2 linked regions of the Schizosaccharomyces pombe genome follow. Changing the gene in region 1 together with any one later gene gives a genetic interaction. Each region holds a gene or a part of one and is shown on either strand. Other genes may lie near its edges.

What was found.
Region 2: of nak1 (region 1) and sog2, changing one enhances a phenotype caused by changing the other (phenotypic enhancement), as found in Schizosaccharomyces pombe (one study listed by BioGRID).

What each region holds. Positions count from the first base shown.
Region 1 is NC_003423.3:2,481,531-2,486,282, reverse strand, and holds nak1 (PAK-like kinase Nak1), read left to right. Parts: upstream 1-1,857; 5' UTR 1,858-1,962; coding exon 1,963-2,042; exon of another isoform or gene 2,043-2,093; coding exon 2,094-2,580; intron 2,581-2,645; coding exon 2,646-4,037; 3' UTR 4,038-4,216; downstream 4,217-4,752. Other genes in the region: SPOM_SPBC12C2.01C (uncharacterized protein), read right to left, coding at 4,396-4,752.
Region 2 is NC_003423.3:3,552,109-3,557,453, forward strand, and holds sog2 (leucine-rich repeat protein Sog2), read right to left. Parts: upstream 3,549-5,345; 5' UTR 3,375-3,548; coding exon 714-3,374; 3' UTR 572-713; downstream 1-571. Other genes in the region: SPOM_SPBC887.08 (uncharacterized protein), read left to right, coding at 10-135, 194-442; response regulator Mcs4, read left to right, coding at 5,166-5,345.

The sequences.
Region 1 (4,752 bases):
GAATGATTTTACCATACGATTCGATACATTCCTTAACACTTCGGAGAAAACAAACATTCTGCTTGCGATAGCGAAGATTTTGCAATTTTACGATCATGGCACATTAGCGTTAGTGTCAGTAGGAAGTGTGCTGATACCACCCATCCCAGATTAGCAGTGCAAAGTGGGCTCATTAAAGGACGAGTTGAAAGTCATGTTCCTAGGAAATATTTGAATTGCGAATTCTTACAAGTCAAACTGACGAGTTTTGACAATGAAGAATGCCCTCCCCTTGGTTGTTGGTATACTGTTTTTATTGATAAATAAAAGTACCATGTCTCTCTGTACATACAACTACGATTTTCGATATACAGGAATGTTTAGATAATTAATCTTTTAAGAGAAATTCTTTTAGTAATGCAAATTTCTATGATTGTATAATATGCTTGAAACTGTGATTTGTCTGGGGTTTTCTTTTTTGTTATATTTTTATTATGTACAACGACTCTTGTTCACCCAGGTCGAAGAGCTAAGGGTCGCTCATTTCTATATTTCTTTCAAGTTTCCTTTTTTTGCTTAATACATTATCATTTGATTGTTGCGATTGATTGTTACAATCGATCGCTCGCACCGATAATCTCAATTAAGCTCAGCGTGTTGACTTACTTTATCTAACCTTTAAAATAGGTCATCGCTACAAAAATTAGTAAACGAAAGAATAAAGAAAATACAAATCCTTCAATTGATTTCTCGTTTTACTCCCTTTTTACTCGGCAATGTAATAATAAATTAATAATATACATTACATTATTTTTATTTACTACACTTTTAAAATAGCGATGTGGGTATTGGACGCATCAAATCAATTCATTGAATTGAAAGTCTGTAAATACCGGGATTTGTCATCCCATCAAACAAAACTAAGCTGCCCTCAAGAAATTGTACAAAAATTTAAAATTTCTTTGACTAGCTCCTATTATGCGATTGTTTCGTCGAATATTTTATATGATCGGTTCGAAACGATAGCCATGCAAGATGAGCAGCAACAGTAATGCTCGTTAAATTAACTAAAAAGCAACTTATTACAAACCAATTGGTAATTTCATAAAAAAAATGAAATGGTTTGGAGAACAGTGTACAAGCTAATGGATAGCATACTAAACGTAACACACCAGACAACCATGCATACTCGGATTTACATAATCAACTTAGTATCTTTATCTTAAGATACAAATTAGTATTTTACGCAAATTCTCAAAAATCGACCGAGTAAATAAGTAATGTCATCTCATTTTATTATTTACTACGAAAATCAGCATATTTGTAAGGTGAGAAGCTTTCAGCTCTTAAGCTTAGATAGTGGAAATTTTGCAATCCGTAAAATGTAGATTGTGAGAAGGATCTTATATGATTGTATGCATTATGTAAAGTTGGTTTACGAATATGGGCTTTAAATATCCTTGGATATAAACAAGACATTGGGTACTACTATAACTGTATAAATTGTTTACAATTTGAACTGAGGAACAAAAATTCGGTCGATTTATTTTAAAGGATTTTAGTCTTAAAGATAATTACTCTCAAAGAACGGATATATATCCGCTGCGGAACGGAAATATAAATAACTACAGATTATATACTGATTAACGACATAGCGTAGTAGAAAAATACAGATAAGATATCGTTAGTTTTACGTTACGCTAAACTCGATAAGATATTCTCATTTCTCCTGCTAAATTTGCTGTATTTTTCCTCGCAAAGCTTCGGTATTGAAAAAAAATAGTATAATAAGTTGTTTGTTATTTAGGGATTGCACAAATTGAGTATTATAGTAAACAGTTTTTCAATATATATCTACTCAATTCCTTCGTACCCGCTACCACCAGCAGTATAGAAAAAGTGAAAGGGAATTGAAGGAGTTTGAATTGAACCTGTTCAATTAAAATTCTTCATGTATCTGCTAAGCAGCTAAAGTTATTAGAAATGGAAAATAACACTGCTTCTTCGCCGTACACAAAATTAGAATTGGTGGGACGCGGTTCGTACGGCGCAGTCTATAGAGGGTATGAATATTATTCGAGTGATTCTTTTCTACATTTTCTAACATTCTAAAGAATTTGCAATTTAACGAAAGAGACTGTTGCCATCAAGATTCTTAATTTGGATACCGATGAGGATGAAGTCTCTGATATTCAGAAAGAAGTCGCTGTTCTTAGTGAATTGAAACAGTCCGATGTCGAAAACATTATAAAGTATCATGGCTCTTATTTGGTAGGTACTAATTTATGGATTATAATGGATTATTGTCATGGAGGTAGCGTGCGTACTTTGATGGAGGCTGGTCCCATTAGTGAACCATGCATATCTTTGATCCTTAGAGAGACCTTACAGGCATTAAAATTTATTCATCATGCAGGTATCATCCATCGTGATATAAAAGCTGCCAACATCCTAGTTTCCATGTCTGGAAATGTCAAGCTATGTGACTTTGGCGTTGCTGCCGAACTAAACATCAATCGCCGAAAGCGAATCACGTTTATTGGAACGCCTTATTGGATGGCACCAGAAGTTATTCGAGATGGTCAGGAATATAATGTTATGGTATGTTTCGTTGCTGATTACTTATAGCCCTTTACCTATTCCACAAAATTATTAACAAAGTTTAGGCTGACATTTGGTCGCTCGGAATCACTGCATATGAAATTGCTACTGGATCTCCACCTCATGCCAAAGAGGATCCTTTTCGTGCCGTTTACCTAATCGCTCACACCGCACCCCCTAGACTCAATGGAAATTTTAGTGCTCTTTTAAAAGAATTCATTGCCTCTTGTTTGCAGGATGTCCCTCAGAGGAGATTAGATTCTTCCGAACTTTTGAAATCAAAATTTATCAAACAATATTCTCGCATGTCTATTTCTGAACTTACCAATGTTGTAAAACGCTATGACACTTGGCAGGCTGCTGGCGGCATACCCCAAACGCTACTCTTGGGTGAAGAAGCCGATGATGGAAGCGACCCTGATCAGGAAACCTCCGACACCGCTGCTTCTGATGATGGTTGGGAATTTGGCACTATTAAACAAGGTCAAAGTAACGTTTCATCCATCACTGGCACTTCCACCTCCACTACTACCGCTGCTACTTCCTCCACTACTGTAACTGGAACTGTAATTCCAAAATCTTCCACAGTGCATGAACCCCCTTCATCTAATGATTCCCATCCGTTATTACAACTTTTTAAGGATTCAAAGATTTCGGATGATGATTCTCCCAGTAACGCTGAAGGAGCTTCTACTGAGGATTCCAAAGGTGAAGTATCTTATTCTCAAATCGAATTACCTAGCTTAGATTCCTCAAATCTATCCTCCAAAAAATCAACCATTCAATCGAAACACACTAAGCAAGCTGAAGATTACGATTTGTTTGTAGGTCGCACACGCTCAAATTCCAAAACCTCATCGGATCAAAGTATCAAACGACCCCTGCCTCGAGTTGTGCAACGTCAAAAAACTTCTCTTGGAAAACGAGGAATATCCATGTCACCAATGAAGCCGGGTCTTCGTATGCCATCCTCATTCGACCTCCAATCTAGAAGTATATCGATGGGCGCATTTGAACAACTATCTACACCATTAGAAGCGCCAGCGCATAAACATTCGGCAGTGCTACAGCCATTAGAGGTTAATAGGTCAATTAGTATACCTCCTCCGAAATCGATTTCTCCCTCTATTTTGCATAAACCTAGTCTTGAATCCGCTAGTTCTACTCCTAAAATTTCCTCCTGTTCGTCCACTCCTAAGCCATTTAATTCGAAATTAAGAGCTCATTTACCCCCTTTATCCATTGGCTCACCGGCCGTTCAACCATTAGCAAATGATAATTACGATTCTCTGGGGGTTCGAGGTCTAAATATGGAATTATTTAATGATTATCCAGGTAATATGCACAATATAAAGTCTGTATTGAGCTTAGAAATAGACATCGTTTTGGGAGAAATGGACGCTTGTCTAAAGAGCTTGGAATGTAATCTTTTAAACAGAAAAGCATATAATGAATAACTGTTTATGATGCTTTTAGTCCTTTCATAATATAATCTTTAATTTATTTAATGTTTTAACTTCTCTTTTTTTGCTAATATATTCGTTCATCTTTTATGAAAATCTAAATTGTTGAGATAATGATGCCAAATACAGAACATTTAAATTAAAATAGTGCCCACGGTTAAGGAATAGAGTCGTAAATTTATTGTCGTGATAATAACTAAAGAACAAGATGAGGGATAATTTAATTTATATGAGTTACAATTTGAACGAAAATTACAATGATTTAATTTACCTTACTAAATACCCAAACAGTAGAAATCTTAATATTGTATTTAAATAACCATCCAAATGAACCATTTTTATTACCAAAGCATCAACCCGTCGAGGAAAACTTTAACTTGCTACAAATCGAGTGTAGTCTATCGTAAAACCGTAACTTTTGTTCTGTATTCACAAAATTTATTGCCTGTATCATCGCATATTCCTGCATAGTTTCAGTCCCATGAAGAAGTAAAACCATCAATAACTTTTCGGAGGGAAAATGTTGGGAAAAGCAGAGCGATAGGAAAATCTTTTGAGCTGTTTCAAATTTTCGTTTTCGTAAGAACCACTCTAAAAGAGTTGTTTTCAATTCATAAGAAGCAGGAAGAGCCAATAACTCCATATGTTTTAATAAATAAAAACTAGTCCTAAGCCTATTTTTTTGAAGTAGAAAGTAACGAATAGTTAA
Region 2 (5,345 bases), 1.1 Mb from region 1:
CTAGTAAGAATGGATTTGCTGGCGATTGATTTGGATTTTGATGTTAGTGAGTCAAAGCTTGAACGGAATAAGCGATTAAAACAGAAAGTAAGCATTGAAACTGATGGATGGACTCCAAGAGTTCAATGTTTTGGTGTATGTTACTCATTTTTTACTCCCAATTTATTGTCTATGATTTTAACAGATTATTCAGCATCTTAGTAAAAATGGCGTCGTCCTCGGTGAAGAAGCCTATATTTTAGAGCAATCAAAATTTGCAGCGGAAGAACAATATTATCTGGGAAACTATTCCTTAGCTAAAAAGTTTGCATTTCAAGCACTTGATGTTCCAACTGATAGTTCCAGCATTGAGTACCACAGACTGAGTTCAGGCGAAATCAATGAAATTGAAGACATCATCAGAAGATGCGAAATGAAACTTGAAAATAAGCAAAGCAATTAATTAGAAAAAATTTTTGTCTTGTCAAAGAGTACCTACCCAAAACTACACACTCTGTCTAATTTTTGTACATGATTTTCATGTGGAAACAGATTAATCACTACTTGTACCATCATCCTTTACAATTTGTCCTTGGTTTTGTTATTTGAATAAGAAATAAATTAATCAAATTCAATCGTGCATCATTTTTTGTATCATTAAATTTATAGTCTTTGTAGGCTTTTGAGTTATCGAGTTACCAATTATTCCTCATCAATCTTCATTAAAAAATTCTTTAGCGCTGTAAACCTTCCACGTTCCCATCCGCGTCAGTAAAGTAATCGATTTTATTAGTACTATAGGCTGACGCCGGAATTGCAGCTGGTGACATGATTAGAGGAGATGTAATAGATTGAGCAGCCGAACCCAGAGCCGCTGACAACGGTGTTGCAGGTACGCGGGCTATTGGGGACATCAAAGGAACAGGAGTGGCTAAAGATGACTCAGTGTAATGTCGAGCAGAGGAAGAAAGTAAGATAGTAAGATCTTTTGTAGATCTTGTTGCAGCTGAAAGACCAGCTAATACGCTTTTTTGGAATGTATATTCACTGGATAACGCTTTCGCTAAATTTGCGACTGCAATAATAGACTTGACAAATGCTTGAGTGTCGTCCAAAAAAAGCTGCCATTCCAATTCTTCCGGATTCGTTTGAAAAGTTAGAAGGCGATGCTTAAGTTTTCTAGTAACATCACAGGCGGCGGCGGATAATGATCCCAATTCACGTAACTTACTAATCAAATTGGGTGCGATGTTTTCATTTACTAGATCAGGCTGGTTATTTTTAGGAACAGCATCAATTAGTAATGTCAAAACTGACATTGCACTGTTTGTTGCTAAAGCGACCTGATCTTGTATTTGTTTATCAATTTCAGGATTCATCACTGATGCTGGTTTTTCAACGCTAACGATTCTGTTCGTAAGCCCAGATGCAGTCCGGATCATACTTGTCGGAGATTGACGTACCTGATCGGCGAATATGTTATTACCACTATGGGGTTGTGATGGACTCAATGGTACCAAGGCGTTTTGTAACTCCTTTGCAGCATCGAAAAGAATTAGCAGTAAAAGCCGAACATATCGGACATCCGCACGACTAGTGAGCTCATTTAAAAATTTTTTTGTCACTTCAATTAGTTTACGAAACGAGCTGATACAAGACAATGAAGCGTTTACTATGGAATTAATGTTTGCAGTTCCATCATTGCTTTGTTGGGTATCCTCAAAGCACAGAATTAGCCGCTTAATTTGAACATTGGCAGTATGTAACACATGACGCATAGAATCTAAAACAACGGGGTTGCTGCAAAAAAGAAGTTGCTGACGAAGGGCTTGTTGGACTTGCGAAAGCGAAAACAATATGCCCCTAGACGACTCTAAAGTTTTTTCAAAGGCCGAGTGCTTCATTTCAACCTCACTCCCTCCAATGTTACTGAAGTAGCTGTTGACCGAGTCATTTGTCAAATTGGAGCCATTTTCATGCGTTTCTTCTTTTTTCAAACGAGGGGAAGGATGAGGATCTTGAGCAAAAATTCGATTTGGTAATTGCTCAGAAAGTTTGCGCGCTTCTTTAAGGGCTTCAAGACGATGTAAAACACTCGATGGAAGTCTAGTAGAAGAGTAATCATCATTTGTACTATTGCTTCTATTACGCTCTTTCTTGGCAACCTCAGGTAAACTTATGGCTGATGTTTTAGCACTCGCACTCAACTGCGTTGGAGCTGTTTTTAGAATCGATTGTGTGGAAGCAGCATCATTATTTGAGGGATTTTGATGTTGATCAGTGAATTCTGAAATTTGGTCTTGAATGGGGCTAGCGCCGTTAGTATTGTGAGTACGTTCTTGAACGTCTGCACTAGCGACGGAGGAATTGGTGAGTGAGCTTTGGGGTGAATGGTACAATGGTCCTGTAGCAGAAGAAGGTGGTTTTGAAACAGAAGGAGAATTGAGGCCAGTAGCTAAAGAAACTGACCTACGAGGACGGGCTTGTCTAGGCGACGCATCTAGATGAAATTTGTTTAATTGATTAAGTGATGGAGGATGAGTGCATCCATGAGCAACATTTGAATCATACAATGTTCCTTCTGAGTTCTCATTTGTCTTTGACAAAGTCGATTTGGGTGTGGACTGTTGATGCCCGGCAGGAGAATGTGAATGGGGACTTGGCGTGACAAACGTCAGCATGCCAGGTGAAACCGCATGGCTAGTATCTGATGGGGCACTAAATAAGTAAGAATCAACCACAGAGGAGTCATTTTCTTCCGAGTGACTAAGATTAGCTGAAGCGGATAAAGCAGCGGAAACAGTACTTTCACTTCGCGTTCTAAAGACTGATTCGTTTCGCGACAAATATCCCTTTATATTGGCAATAAACAACTGCATATCAGAATCTTGCAAGTCATTATTAGCGATATGCGGAGGAGGAAACACAATGTGATTGTTTTCAATTTTAAGAATTTCAAGATTCGGCATATGTGCAATGTAGGTGGGAAGCTCAAAAAGACGATTTTTAGAAATTGAAAGAACTTTAAGGTTCATTAAAGCTCCAAAGGATTCTGGCAGTTGCTTGATTTTATTGCGAGAAATGTCTAAAATTTCAAGTGACTCAAGTCGACACAAAGATTCGGGAAACTCTCTAAGGACATTCGATCTAATATTTAGGTACCGGAGACGAGTAAACTTTAGGATTTCAGGACCAATACTCTTTATAAAGTTATGGCCTAGCGCTAGTCTCGCTATCCGACCCTGGATTCTTTCCAATTGTTCATAAGGTAATTCCCGCAAGTTTAGATGAGATAGATCTAACGTAAGTGCATTTTCAGGACCCGCATCTTCTGCCTCTTTAATAATTCTTTCAATTTCTGAGTTTTTTGTGGAGGACACCTCATGAGCAGACATAGCATGAAAAGATCGATCACCTCAGACGTAAATCCGAAGGTTTTGTTGAAAAAAAAAGGAACTCTAAGAAGTAATAATTACTAAAAAAATGCAATGAACATAAAATTGATCCACAATGGTATGCTATAATGTACAAAAGTCAATTCCCCAAAATTTACTGCCAAGCTAGTTCGCGGAACGAATAAACTCACTTCTTTCTGTGTACGCATCTGTAGGTTGTACTTTTTTATTTTAACAACGTGAATAAGCACTTTTCCTTAAAATAATTACAGTTTATTAACGTTTACACAAAATATTTTCGTTAAGTTTGATATTGCGTTTTATTTTTTTTAGCTATGCAGTTCGTAATTATCATTAATGATATGTTAGACTACTTGATTTTCGTATGTGCACTACATAGCGGTACATATGGTTGTATGATAACGGGGGTTACGGATATCCTTGTATGAAGGCGGTAATGTAATTTATCTCTAAACAAACCACCACAGCTGAACTAAAGAACGTTGTTCCTTTGATTTTACATCTATCATTTCTAGCTAATAAATTAAAAAATTTATTAGTGGATCTACATCGTATTGTTATCATTTGTAAGACGATAGGTAATCAGAACATGTGACATATAGTAATTCGTAATTGTAATGTAGTATTGTTAGCATTCATTTCTAATTCTTGAATGATCAAAAGCACTCGCTATATTATGTTGGTTCGAACTTTTTGAGTTCATCGAGATCAGAAGTCGTTATTAACAGGAGCAACAAATGCTAACGCTACAGTATGTTTTGTGGTAAATAATTCTTTAAGTGTAAATTGATAACTTTTTGAATGAGTTGCAATTTTGTTGATTCAATATTTCTGTCATTTATCTATAGTTTGTTTATCAATTTGATTATCTTGGTGCGTTTGATTTCCTAATCATTAATATTTATTGTTTATTTTATTAGTCCTTAATATATTGCTTCCTAATAGAATCGCCTAGGTTTATCATTATGATTTAAGAACCTGATAAAAATAAATGAGTTGATAAATTGTACATATAATCAAACACGGTTTTTTTTTCTATGACTAAATGGGTTACTATCTAAAATAATTTTTTTTGGTTTCTCATTGAGAAATTGAAGCCTCATTATTTTTGAATTTCAAAAATATTGGTTTGTGTTGATTAAATCATTTAATCTGAGTCATTAAATATCCAAACCTGACAAGTAGTAATAGGACCATTAATGGTAGCCAACTAAGTATGGGTATAACGTTTAATTTTTTTTTTTTTTAAACTACATACTTTAAATAAAATCTAAAATAAGGAATAAATTTCAGAAACAATTACTCAATTAGTTAAATTTTAGTAATGTCGAATTCTAATAGTAAGTCAATAACACAACAGTATCCCTTTTAAACGAATACTTATTTGCTCGTATCGTAGAATGTATAATTTACAATCGCAGTTTTAGCTGTGCCTATTATTTTCACGTGTTAAAATTTATTCGATTTTTGTCCTCAGATGGAAGGTGTTACTCTAAGTACTCTACTAAATCCCCAGCGCTTGTTGCACGACTAGGTAACGAAACTCAACACCTTAAGTAGGCTTGCCGTATTGTATCGTGAACCATACCTTACTCATTCCTTATCACGAACAGTGATTTTATACTTGTATATTTCTATTAAATTTAAAATAGAAGGGGATTATACAAGAAGCTATCGAATGTTAAACGTAAAAACAGGCGGCTGTTTTGGTTGTTCATACTGTATATAGGAAAGTTGAGGTTAAGTCAAAAGAAAGAAGATATATAGAAGATGCGCATTTGGTTTAAAAAAGTTCCAGATGGGATTACTTCCTCCGTTATATTGTCTGAAGATCATCTGGTTGACGATTTAAAAGATGCCATCGCTCGGAAATTCCCTATTCGTATCAGTCAGTATTATGATGCACCTGAGCTTTCGATTCGTGTAGTAGCTCCACCAAATGCATCATCG